Linked DNA regions of Cricetulus griseus. The protein of the gene in region 1 interacts with the protein of each later gene in a pairwise test. Links are inferred from orthologs where the notes say so. Each region holds a gene or a part of one and is shown in the gene's direction. Other genes may lie near its edges.

Region 1 (4,138 bases):
GCTTTTTTATTACTTTATTTTTACTATCTTTCGTTTATTTTTTCTGAGACAGGGTTTCTCTGTGGAAATCTGCCTGCCTCTGCTTCCTTCAGCAAATCCTACCGGCGTGAGCCACCACACCCAGCTACTCTATTTCCTCCTGTTATTTTTTCTCTCACAAGCCTACATATATTTTTAAATGCAGTGTAAACCTTTAGAGGTTTTTCTTTATCTGGATCTGTCTGTATCATCTTGGGAGTGCTGAGTCCAAGGCCCAAGAGCGCCGGGACGGCGTGAGCCTATGGAAGCTGTTCCAATGCCTCTCAGCACCCTGACAGGGCAGGCTGTGGTGGCAGGTTTCCCTCATTCTCTGGGAACCTTGGGGCATGGGGTCATCCCACTCACTGACCCATTCCTTAAGGTTTGCACTTGATTCTTTCAGCACATTGGTTGAGTACAAGCACCTGACTGGGAGGAAGCCATTTTATTTAAAGTCCATTAGGGATAATAATCACAGCTGCAGTATACCTTTGCAGAAATACTGAGAGTTGAGTGTCTGATAAACTCACTGGGGATCAGAACCTGACTAAATTGACACATACATCTGGTCTAATCTGTAGAAAAACTGAGGCAGAGCTGAAACATACAGCAGGGTACACAAGCCCAGCATGTCCCTCTTGCCCCTCCCTGCTTCCTTCCCAGGATTCATATCAGACAAGGCCATCTACTTTGCTTGAAGACTCTGCATTGGAGGAGGCAGGATGTTCTGTACAGAGAAGCTCCTCTGATAGAGTGCTGTACCCTAGATTACTGGCCAGTCATGGGCTTGTAGAAACCATGATAAGCATGGGACCTGTCACTGCTTTGGGCACTTATGGATGCTTGGGCCGTATGCCAGCCCTTGTCTCTTTCTAGACCATGATGGAGGATGGGATCCTCCTACCCGTGAGTAGCAAAATCAAGGGGAGATGAATCAGGGCAGCTCACAAAAACAGTACCACTTAGAGCACTATCTCATCTCCAAGTTGCTTACACAGCAGAAGAGAAGGCGGCCACGAGACCCACCAACAAGATACAGTGGGAACTCAAGGTGCCAATCCAAGGCCTGAGCACAGAGAGGGAGAACTGGCTCCACCCTCTTGTGCCAGTATATCTCCCTCACATTTCTACCCCTGGAAGAGGCGAGCTTCCAAGTGTCTTCTCTGTGCCATCCACCCTGAACAACCTTACAAATGAATACCTGGTGGTGATGGCAGAAAGCCCTTCCAATGTCAAAGAAGGGTATAAAATGTCCATTTCTGAAGATCTAGGGACTGGAAACTTTGACCAAAGCCAAGAACAACCAGTGATGTCAGGTGAGAATCCCCTAAAAAGCCTGTTGGGTATAGTTAATCATGTGCGTTTACTTGTGCTGCTTCTACAACATCCCAGTCATTGTGCATGCTGTTTACTTAGTCTGGAAGGTTATTCGTTTGTTTTAGGTATTTCAGTGTTGATTTATGCTTTTCTTTTGCCATATTAGCTTGTTTTGGTTTTTAATCATTCATGAACCATTTACATATCTGAATTTACATGGATGGAAGATTTTATTATTGGTATTTCCTATTCTCTCATACATAGAGATGGTTTGTGTTTGGGATTTCATCTCTTGATCATTGCTCATGCTACAGAATCCTAGGCCCAGGGCCAGATTTTCAGTAAATACATACTGACCTGTTGAACAGATGGACAAATAGGCTGAGCATCAGAAGTGAATGGGTATTGAGTGATTTCTGCTGTTTTCAGTACCCAGAAAGTTCTGGTAAAACCTTTAAAGCAGTATTCATAGCAGTCTCTGTTCTTCTTTCTAGAAATGATGGAACGTGGGTCCCGGTCACTGGGAGGAATCCAAAGACGTCCAAGGGCAGAGCAAAAACCTGCTGGATCTGGTTCAGGCCAGTCATTTTGGAATGTGACTGGACCTCGTCCCAAGAAAGGGGTATTGACAAATGGTGGCTAGTTTAGGGTGGGAAGTTCTTACTTTGGGGCTCCTGTATTCCCATGGTAGATATAGCTAGAAGTTGATCATTAGGAGGAGGAAGCTTCCATATACCAATAAAGCAAATGAATGAAGGGTAGATCATTGGAAGGTTAGGGTTGTACTGTATAATGCTGGGACTTCAATGCTAGAAGTCTGCATGCCTAGCAAACATGTTGACTGGAAAATGCATCTATAGTTGACCCTCTACATTCCTAGGTCTTGCATCCATTGGCTCAATCGATCACAGATGGACACTGTCTGTGGGTGGAGGTGGAGTGATTACATCTCTAGAGAATACATGCAAGATGTTTTTCTTGCAATGATTATCTACACAATATAGTATAAGAATTACTTAGATGGCATTTACATTTTATTAGACATTATAAATAATATAGTAATTATTTCAATTATATAAAAAGATATGATTATGCTATATTCTAATATTATGACCTTTTACACAAGCAACTTGGGAATCTGCAGAGCTGCATAACCATAGTGAGGCGTTTATTCTAGAAACAGTCTCCATGGATACCAAGGGATGACTATACAATTCTTTATAAACTTCCAAGGTGTGAAATGATGTTTTCTTTTAAATTACTTAAAATCATCTTGAAGGTTTACATTCATCTTCAGTAGGTAGCTTGGGTTTTCAAGGGATGCCTGCATGTAAAAGTTCTACCAAAAGACAGAGAAGCCTGTCACTGCATTTTCCTTGGCACAGCACACAAGGCTAGAAGCTACCAATAGGCATGGTGTGTGTGTGGGGGGGGGCACAGGAAGATGAAATGACATCATGGGGCTCCTATGGGGTGTACTGTTGATTCATGCACAATGCGGTGCTAAAAGGGTGACTTGGAATGGTGTATCCTTTCTTTCTGTAGGGTCATCAGGTGCAGATGCCCCGGATGCCAAGAGATCACAGTCAGGTGGATGGCTATCTCCAGGAGTTTCCTGGCAACTTCCAAACAGGGAGGGTCCCTTATGAGCGGTAAGAGTTCAATTGTCTTGTTCCTAGCTACTGGGGGAGGAACAAGCAGAGGGTAGGGCCATAGGGACTAGTGAGCATCCGAGTCGAGAAGCAGATGTATATACTTGAAGTATTGGGATACTATTGCCTCCTGGCCATTTGGGATCTACGTATGCTTTGGCAAAGCCTCCGGCTTCTTTACTACACAAGGGAAGGACTGGGATCTTTATCCAAAAAGCCTTCAGGCATACCTTATTGCTCTGTGTCTTTTCTATGGCCACCAACACCTCTGAGCCATGTAACCTTTCCTTCCAACAGTCTGGAGGCAGATTTAGTGGCAGAGATTGGCCTGGAAGAACTCAATGGGCTGGAGATGGAAGTCATGAGAAGGCAGGTAAGCATCTGTTGTATAGTTGGAGGAAGCATCATAGTGCTTTGGAGTGGGTGATTTTGGCAGTTGTGAACAAAGCCACCCCCGAGTTTTCATAGCCTTTGTCCAAATCATATCCTGTAGCAAATGAAGTGAGGTTGGGCTCTCCTTTCTGTTCTTCTCAGGCCTCATGCCTTGAGTACCTCATGTTGATGTTCACCCTTGACTTTCCTTTATGCTGGAGATGCTGGACAGGAATTGGGGAAGAGAAAAGGATGTGGAAGGGGGAACAAAGATTCATTTTGGTTTTGGTCATATTTTCCCCCTACCCTTATGTCTTGCCTTTCTCATAAGAGTGATTCCTGCTCACAAGTCCTGTGTTTGGTCCTTCCACAGATGCAAGTGATTTCTGGGCGGCTGCGTGCCCTTGAGGACCAGGATGCCACGTGGCGCCATAAGGAGGCTGTGCTCTTTAGTTTGCTGGTCTCAGTCTGCATAGCCAACCTGTGGCTTTGGATGCGTCAGTAAAGTTTCACAAACACCACAACCCCATTAGAGCCATTCCTTTCTTTCGTCTTCCCTTTGCTTTCAAGGATGCCCTTATCCACGCCATTCTATCTCCCAGCAGCCCCCCAGGTAGCAGTTGGGTCATTTTACCCCTCTGCTTGGGCCTTCTGCCTGGAGATACGCTCACTCTATTGTGAGATTCTAGCTGCTGCGAGGCTAGGGAACCACTGGGTAGCACCATACAGGTATGCCTGGGTTGAGATGCCTCTCCTCTGGAGGAATTAAAGGATGGCAC
Region 2 (4,258 bases), on another chromosome or scaffold:
ACTTCTGTTTTACTTCTTTGAACGCAATTCGTATTTCCTTATCGGTCGAACAACATCGCAGCCTCCCCTCTTTTGCCCACGATGTTTGTGCAAGCCCAGGTTTGTTTGCACCAGACGTCAGGGATGACAGCCTGGGAGGAGTGTGTGACAGTTGGCTAGCACCATGAGGCCCAAGGCCGAGCCAAGTCGCCGCACAGACCTCGGCTGTGCGCGGGCGGGGGAGAGCTGTGACTGCTGCTGGGAGGGACTGAGGCCTCACCGCAGGGTGAGGGACCAGCAAACAAACACCTTGAGAACCTTCCCTGGGGCTCTCCCCTACACGGTCTCCAAGGGTCTCCTAGGCTGGTGGGGGCTGCCCTGATTTGGCACCGGAAACAATGGGGACTCGGAGCCGGAGGCGATGGCTCGAGGCCTGGGAGGGGGGAAGGGGAAATTTAGCTGCCTCTGGTCGAGCTCTGCGGGGCCAGGCCGCAAGCCCCGACCAATGGCTGCGAGCAAGGGAATCGCAGGTGTCGAGTTAGGACCGGACTGGGATGGCGGGCCTCTGCCCACACCTCTTCGCGCATGGACTGTTTTCCCGTATCCCACGCCGGGTTTTATGTTCTGCTCTCATCTCCAAGCCCGGCCCTGAGCAAAAAAAAAAAAAAAAAAAAAAAAAAAAAAAAAAAAAAAAAAAAAAAAAAAAACTGAACTAGGCGGAGCCCCTCTCCCTCCTTCCCTCCCTTGCGTCGGGCGCTTGGTAGAGGCTGGTGCAAGGCTGTGCTCCTCTGCTGGAAGGAAGTCCTGCCGACAAGCGCCGCGGGGCTCGCCCTGGCGGTTAGGAAGAGAGCCGTCGGGGGTGGGGGGGTAGGTGAGGGGTGTAGCCTGCGGCAGAGACCGATGCTCCCCGACCCGGCCCTGCCCATCTTTCAAACCGCGAATTTAGCGACAACCCCTCCGCTATCCACTCGGCCATCACCGGCCGCGTGTCCGGGCTCAGCACTGGGGTTGCCGCACCCCGGACGAAGCCGAACGCAGTAGGTGCCATCAGTTCTGGGGAGCAGGGGTGCAGCTCTGCGGCACGGAAAGCTCGGCGGCCTCGAAGTATGCCGCTGGGGGCGGGGCTTGCGGAGGGGGCCCCGCCCCAGCCCTGCCTCGCCCTGCTCCGCCTCTCGGCGGAGTGGGCCAGGGGTTGAGCTGCGCTCCGCGTCCACGCCTCGGTGGGTTTTTTTTTTTTTTTTTGCAGCTGCGAAAACCCGGAACGAAGGTGTTGTTGCCGCGCGGGGGAGCGGCGCCGCCTCTCGCCGCACCTCCCCGACAGCTCTAGGAGGCCTCGCTGGGCATGCTCAGTCGGCAGGGCCGCTTCAGCTCTCGTAGTAGGAAGCTTGGGGCGCTGGGCTCGTGAGGACCCGAGCGCGGCGGAGTGGAGATGGAGCCCTTTACCAATGGTGAGTGCCTAGCCGGAGACGCGGATTCCCGGGCTTTCAGGGTCCAGAGGGTCGGTTGTGGCACGGGGGTCCGGCCGCCCGGCTTCCCCGCCTAGGGTTTCCCAGGGGGGCCGGGGGCGGCATAGGGGCCCGGGGGTAGTAGGGCGAGCGTGAAGGTCAGACCTCTTCCGGGGGCCCCCACCGAGCCTTCAGGTGAGGCCGTGGCAAAGTTTGGGATGCTTGCGCGGAGGAGGGGACAGCCGCAAAGTTGGCAGTCGCGTTCGTTCCCGGGGAGGCGGCCAAGGCTCGGATGAGCGGCTCCCGGGAGAAAGCCCGTGCTGGGAGCCTGGAGCTGTCCGCTCGCTCCCTCGCTCGCCCTTCAGCGAGCGGCTCGCATGCCTTTCCGTAATAGGGCGGGGTGGGGCCGCTGGGCTGGCAGCGTGATTTAGTGCACCGCAGGGAAGGAAACTGACCCGAGGCTGGCTGGTACTGTGCTCTCCCCCCCCCGTATGGTACTGTGTCCCCTTCCCCCCATTGCCACCTTTCTCTCCGCCGGTGCTGCCGAAGCACTCCGCCGGACGACCAAGTTTCTTTTTGCCTGCTGGGAATATTGATTGGCCTCCTAGTCAGGGACCCATTGAGTATCTATGCTTGTATCATTTAGGTGACGGGGTGAAAGTCAAAACAACTTGCGTCCAGAAAACAGCCATGGCCTTTCACTCCACGGCTTTTGTCTGGGCTAGAAGTGCCCAGTAGGGGTGAGATGTTTCACCATTTTATGGTGCTAAGTATCTGGGTTCCCCATTGGGATGTATAAAGTAGGAAAGCTGCTAATAAACGATAGGACGTGCTGAAATGGTAGGGTCCACTTTGTAGTTGGCCTGCATTTCCAGTGTGGTTGGTTACTTCTGGTAGGTAGAAAATCAAATTAATAGGAGACAGGTGTATTACTATTTGGGTGGCTTGCTTGCCACTTCAGGGACGGGGCGCAGGGCAGGGGGTGGGGTGGGGGGAGACGTTGCCCACTATCCACTCTCCTGCCCGACTTTGTTGTGTACTTTAACTTTATTCCTGGGGCTGTGACTTACTCATTATGCTCTCCTTTTCCCTATTTCAGAATGCTTTATTCTACTGCCATCTTTCTGTCCGCACTGTTTAATTAGGCGTAATGATGACAGCTTTAACTCTGAACTTTTTCCCCCCTCATTTGTGTTCTATTTGTAATACCAAGGCTCCAAGAATAGTATGGTAAAAATTCCCAGATAATTAAGCAAGATTTGAACTGAACGGCACCATAGAGACCATCTAGTACTTGGATGTAAAATATGCTTAAAAACATTCGAAGGCAAATTTCTTTCTTCAAAATAAAGAGGCAGAATTCAACTTTCATATAGGAAGTTGGATTTCTAATTCTTTTCTGTCTACCAGATTTTCACAGTTGATGCTGGAGGCTAGTTGGCAATATGCCATTTGAGTTAATGTGGTCTTGTCCTCCTTTCACAAGGAAAATAGGCACTACAACATAGAAAGTCAACACCTGGGATACTGCTAACTTTAAGTGACTTTGAAGATTTTAAGGTGGACTAGGTACTTCAAAACTTTAGAAAGTTTTTGCTGTAGAATTTTCTAGTGTCTTCAAATATAATATTATATAATGGAAACTACATTTTTATATTTAGTTGTTTTGAGTGCGTAACATGTCCATGCAATTCTATAGTTAGTCTCTTACAGACTATTTTATCATCTTTTGAATGTGATTGAGTGATTTATCAAGCTTAATATTGGCTTTTGTTAAACATTGATCCTCTTTTAGCAAATCTTTCTCATTTACATGGTCTTGTATGTCCCGACATAGACCCAGGACTTTCTTAAAATACTATCAGTAGTTCATTCATCAATCTACAAGTTTATAAAGTAAATGAATTTAGTCTTGTCATCCCAGCCTTCAGTACTCATTGATTTCTGTAGTGTTCCTATTTTCTGTGAAATGTGCTGCTGGTGTGGCTCATTTTCTTGAGCCCAGCCAGCTGCCTAAAGTAATGTAATGAGTTCTTGTGTTAAATATCTTATGTTCGCCTGTCCGATTAATAACTCTTAGAACCCATTTAAAATTCATGTTTCTAGAAAAGGCCTGTAAGGATGGACTTCAGTGCCAGCCTATCTGACTCAGGAAATATTTTTGGCCTTGACCTTGAGAGGGACTGTTACCACACTGAAGACTGGCCTGGCTTTGGTTCTCTGGTGACTTTTTTATGGGTAGAGGAATGTGTTGACTAGTGCTTAAGATTGGTTTGACAGTAGCTGCCTCATCCTGTTCAGCAGGTCTAGGTGAAACCTTTAGGAGAAGTGACTTGCTTCTTTACCAGCACCACAGAAAGTTGATGGAGACTGACTAGGTGTTCTGAGAGAGATAGTAAAGATTAAGAAAGCCAATTATTTGATGTCCATGTGCCTTTATCCCCATTTATTTGGAATATTTCATAATAGCTTAAATTTTTGTTAAGACATGCTAAAAGTTGGGACTCAATTGCAAAATCTGGTTGAGGAGGTCCAGGGTCAGGTCTGGAAATCTCTGACTAAATTTTGAAGCTACTAGAAATATTCACTTAAAGAGGATTAGCAGGTAAACAAATACAGTCTTCCAAACATGGGGAAAAATTGTTATTATTTAGTGTATGTTTTGCTAGCAGATGCTAGTTTGTGTTGTAATTACAGGCAAATCTAGTGGTTGGAAAATCACTGGTATATTGAGGTGCCGTAACAGAAAGCCTAATAGAGGTTGCCATTTTTATGTGAATTACATATCGCCTCCGTAAAGATCATTTTATTAGGGTAAACTGGTGCATAATCAA
Region 3 (3,926 bases), about 120 Mb from region 1:
GACCAATAAGGACCGGAGGTCAGATACACCCCCCCCAAGGATAAAAACTATGTTCACTTTCCCTCTCTGCGCTCGCCACCCCCATCCCTGCTACATAAATGAATAGAGATCGCAGCCAGATAATTTCCCCGTTGATAACACAGGGCACCCAGCACGCCCCTGAAATAAGAATTTCCACGCAAAGTCGCAGTCACACACGTTCCAAATGATAAAAGTTCAGTGGAGCAAACACAGTAAGTCACAGTACCCCACTCCCATCTGTCCCTCCCTTCCCCCACCCTCGTGCACCCATCCCGTGTCCCAATCGCGCACGCGCTTTTGCTTTCATAAGAAAAAGCCGGGGGGGGGGACACCCCCTCTCAGGTGCATCCCTTGGCTCGGTGTGTGCAGTCCATCCGCGCGCCTCTTCTATGCACACCGCACCCCCGCGCACGCCCCGCTCCATTACCTTGGACCCCACCACCCGCAACGGAGCTCACCTTCTCGGCCCGGACTGTCAAGGGAGGGCTCCCAGGCATCACCTCCGCCAGCCGCCACTTCCTCCAGAACTGCTAGTTCAACTGGAGCCGACGAGTGCAACAACCAAGTCCAAGGCTGGGGGCAAAAGAGAGGAAAGGGGGAGGGGAAACGCGCCGGACGCGCTACCCTCCCAAAGAAACTCAGTGCCGCCTCCTCCCAGCCGGCAGCAGTCACCAACACAAAATGGCGACGAGGAGCAAGCAGCCGGCGCTCCGACCACCATCCTCCTACTAAGGGAGCGCGCTCTGGCCGGCCTTGACGATTGGCTGCCATCCGCCATGGGCTGGCCCTGGCCTTCTCTGATTGGCAATCTTTTGCCACCGCCCCATTCCCCGTGAGAACGCCCCGGGAGTCCAGAGAAAGAGTAGCTATTGGCTACCTCTGTGAGACCCGCTTTTTTACAGCTTGCTTTCCTTTGAAGTTGAAGTTGAAAGACAAGCAGAAGCTCCACCTATTTCCCCACAAGGCCATCTGGATGTCACCGCTTTCTTTTTTTATGAAGAAAATAAACAGATCTCTCAAGACCAAATTTCTCCCAGCCTGACAAAAGGGATAAAGTTAATTTGGTAGTGATGCGGCATGGGAAGTAAAACACAATCCACACCTCGAAAACAAACTTATACCCAGGATCTATTTAACGAGGTGAGGGCGGAGCGAAAAAAATCGCGCTGGGATCAACCGCAGCTGCGCACATACGGTTTCCGTGTCTCCCCCCACCCTCCGCCGTGCGCCGCTCCCCCATCTCCGACCCAGCAGCACAAGCTGTCATGGCGGCCCGGCTGTTAAGTTTGTGTGCTCGCCGCCTTTCGGTAACAGCTGCGGTTCGAGGGCTCCCAGCTGCTGGCGTTCGCTGGGAATCCTCCAGGGCTGTAATCTCCCCGTCTACTGTGGAGAGAAAGCGGCAACGACAGCCGACCATGCACTGGCAGGAGGACCCAGAATCCGAGGACGAAAACGTCTACGCGAAGGTGAGAGGGAGGGGGAAAACGGGATGCCGCAGGGGCCAATCTGAGACTAGCAGACCCATGTCCAAGAGGACATTCTCTGACTGGAGGCTTGTGCCGTGTACAAGATCTTCAAAGATTCTCAATATTGGCTTGTTTTCCACGTTTTTCGTTTTGATATCTTTGGTCTAGGACTCGAAGCGGGATTTGCTTTATTTGTAGACAGAAATCACACTTGAAGTGGACAGCACCCAAAGCGCGCTAGAAATAGTATAATCAAGATAATGCTAAATTCTGAGATGGAACGTGCTCCGTGCTAGTCTGTGCTACACATTTTGTATCTATTAACTCATCTAAGTTCTAAAACAGGATGATTTTGAGTTAAACTCTACTACTGTTACCATTATGTGGATGAGGATACTGGAACAAATAGTTGCTTGCCCAAGATCACATAACTTGAGTAGGTAGAGGAGCTGATACTTGAATTTAGGACTAACTGAATTTCTGTGCTTTATGAATAACAGAGACTCTGTAGTCAGACACCCTGGGTTGGAAATTATTCACTTGTGTGACCTTGGGCAAGTAGTTTATAGTCTTTTGGTGCCTCAGTTTCTTTGTAAAGTGAGAAAAGTAATAGGACAGCTAAAAAGTAGACCTGCTTCATATGATTAAATGAGTCAGAATGGTCAGTTCCTGCCACTTCAGAACTATTCAATTAGAAGATGTTTATTATTGCCATTTCCACCTTACTGGGATATGTGAGGTTTGTATACTTGAAAAAGCCTAGCATATAAGTACTTCATCAACACTAACCTCTGGTTGAGGGGCTTAAATATATATATATATATATATATATATATATATATATATATATAGTGCTATAGGATAAGTGGACCCATAGGAAATTACCAATATTTAGCCATTTTTAATGCTTTATGAATAACACTTCCCAAGGGTGCATCTTAACAGACAGGGTGATTAGGTAATGATTCCCAAAGAAGTAGGTGAGGCCAATTTGGAAATAAAGTTAAAACCTTGGATAACGGCTCTGATTAGATTTGGGGAAGAGCTTTCTAAGCAGTGGGGGCAGCAAATATCAAAGCCCTTTAGTGAGAAAGAACTTCACATACCCTAAGAATAGGAAAAGGATTTTAGTGAGGAATAAGAAATTGGTTTGAGGGCAGATTAGAGACCAGTATGCAGATATATGCTGGCTCTGCATAAAGATATACGCAGGGCCAGCATCTATGAAGCAGCAGGAAGCCCTTATTGACTTCTCCTTCTCCTCAGAACCCAGACTTCCATGGTTATGACCAGGACCCTGTGGTGGACGTCTGGAATATGCGAGTTGTCTTCTTCTTTGGTTTTTCCATCGTCCTGGTCTTGGGTACCACCTTTATGGCTTATCTGCCTGACTACAGGTATGTGGGTTTTCTAAGAGAGTAGAGTGAGTGGGCAGAGGCAGAAGCAAGGGTAAAGGTTGAAAAGTCTCTGACCAGAATCCTTGCTCTGAACTGGTGGAGAATGGGGTCCTGAGGTGGGGAACTGGTGTCTGGTGAGGCTCTCTTACATCCGACCACACCTGTTGCTGCTTCTAGGATGCAAGAGTGGGCCCGCCGGGAAGCTGAGAGACTTGTGAAATATCGAGAAGCCAATGGCCTCCCCATCATGGAATCCAACTGTTTTGATCCCAGCAAGATCCAGTTACCAGAAGATGAGTGATGAATTACTGAGAAGGGCTTAAGAAGCACTACTTTGTCCACCCCCTGCCTTTTATTCTTCTGGTTCCTCCAAGCACCTTATTAAAGGGATTGAAAGAAGGACTGGTTACTGTTGCTTTTGTTGTGGAAGAGGATATATGAGAGAGTGTGACAAGCCTTACAAGGGCCATTGCTGGTTTTCTTGGTTGTCTAGAGCTGTGCAACACTAAGGTTTTGGTGACTTAGTACTCTATCCCATGGCCCTGTGGGTTGCACACTAAGGGTATTTGGCTCCTCTTGGATCTCAGGTAGTTGCTGTTAGGTAGTAGCTAGAGCTAGAGGCATCTGAAGCACATCTGGTTTTTACAGCCAAGGTTTCTAAAAAAAGAAAATTAAAAAAAAAAGCCTGGCACTTAAGTCTTCAGTATAGTAACCTGGGCTGCTTATATCAGTGGTTCTCAACCTTCAAAATGCTGCAACCCCTTAATACAGTTCCTCATGTTGTGACCCCCCAACCATAAAATTACTTTCTTTTTTGGGGAATGGGGGTTTTAAGGCATGGTTTCTCTGTGGCTTTGGAGGCTGTCCTGGAACTAGCTCTTGTAGACCAGGCTGGTCTCGAACTCACAGAGATCATCTGCCTCTGAGTCCTGAGTGCTGGGATTAAAGGCATGCGCTACCACTGCCTGGCATAAAATTATTTTCGTTGCTACTTCATAACTAACTTTTTACTGTTACGAATCATAACGTAAGTATTTTTTGA

The links. The genes of interacting proteins can lie anywhere in the genome.
Region 2: the proteins of Fate1 (region 1) and Lnpep interact in binary tests that used the Homo sapiens proteins (3 or more experiments, as listed by UniProt). The two-hybrid records come from large-scale screens. The link is inferred for Cricetulus griseus from reciprocal best matches to the Homo sapiens genes FATE1 and LNPEP.
Region 3: the proteins of Fate1 (region 1) and Ndufb11 interact in binary tests that used the Homo sapiens proteins (3 or more experiments, as listed by UniProt). The two-hybrid records come from large-scale screens. The link is inferred for Cricetulus griseus from reciprocal best matches to the Homo sapiens genes FATE1 and NDUFB11.

Annotation. Positions count from the first base shown.
Region 1 is NC_048604.1:3,690,779-3,694,916, reverse strand, and holds the start of Fate1 (fetal and adult testis-expressed transcript protein), read left to right. Parts: upstream 1-1,228; coding exon 1,229-1,334; intron 1,335-1,829; coding exon 1,830-1,957; intron 1,958-2,880; coding exon 2,881-2,987; intron 2,988-3,284; coding exon 3,285-3,360; intron 3,361-3,732; coding exon 3,733-3,864; 3' UTR 3,865-4,138. UniProt on the Homo sapiens protein: Involved in the regulation of endoplasmic reticulum (ER)-mitochondria coupling. Negatively regulates the ER-mitochondria distance and Ca(2+) transfer from ER to mitochondria possibly implicating it in the regulation of apoptosis.
Region 2 is NC_048595.1:295,779,574-295,783,831, reverse strand, and holds the start of Lnpep (leucyl-cystinyl aminopeptidase), read left to right. Parts: upstream 1-1,265; 5' UTR 1,266-1,408; coding exon 1,409-1,427; intron 1,428-4,258. UniProt on the Homo sapiens protein: Release of an N-terminal amino acid, cleaves before cysteine, leucine as well as other amino acids. Degrades peptide hormones such as oxytocin, vasopressin and angiotensin III, and plays a role in maintaining homeostasis during pregnancy.
Region 3 is NC_048604.1:125,416,141-125,420,066, reverse strand, and holds Ndufb11 (NADH dehydrogenase [ubiquinone] 1 beta subcomplex subunit 11, mitochondrial), read left to right. Parts: upstream 1-1,246; 5' UTR 1,247-1,286; coding exon 1,287-1,487; intron 1,488-2,753; coding exon 2,754-2,884; intron 2,885-3,061; coding exon 3,062-3,185; 3' UTR 3,186-3,233; downstream 3,234-3,926. Other genes in the region: Rbm10 (RNA-binding protein 10), read right to left, coding at 449-518. UniProt on the Homo sapiens protein: Accessory subunit of the mitochondrial membrane respiratory chain NADH dehydrogenase (Complex I), that is believed not to be involved in catalysis. Complex I functions in the transfer of electrons from NADH to the respiratory chain.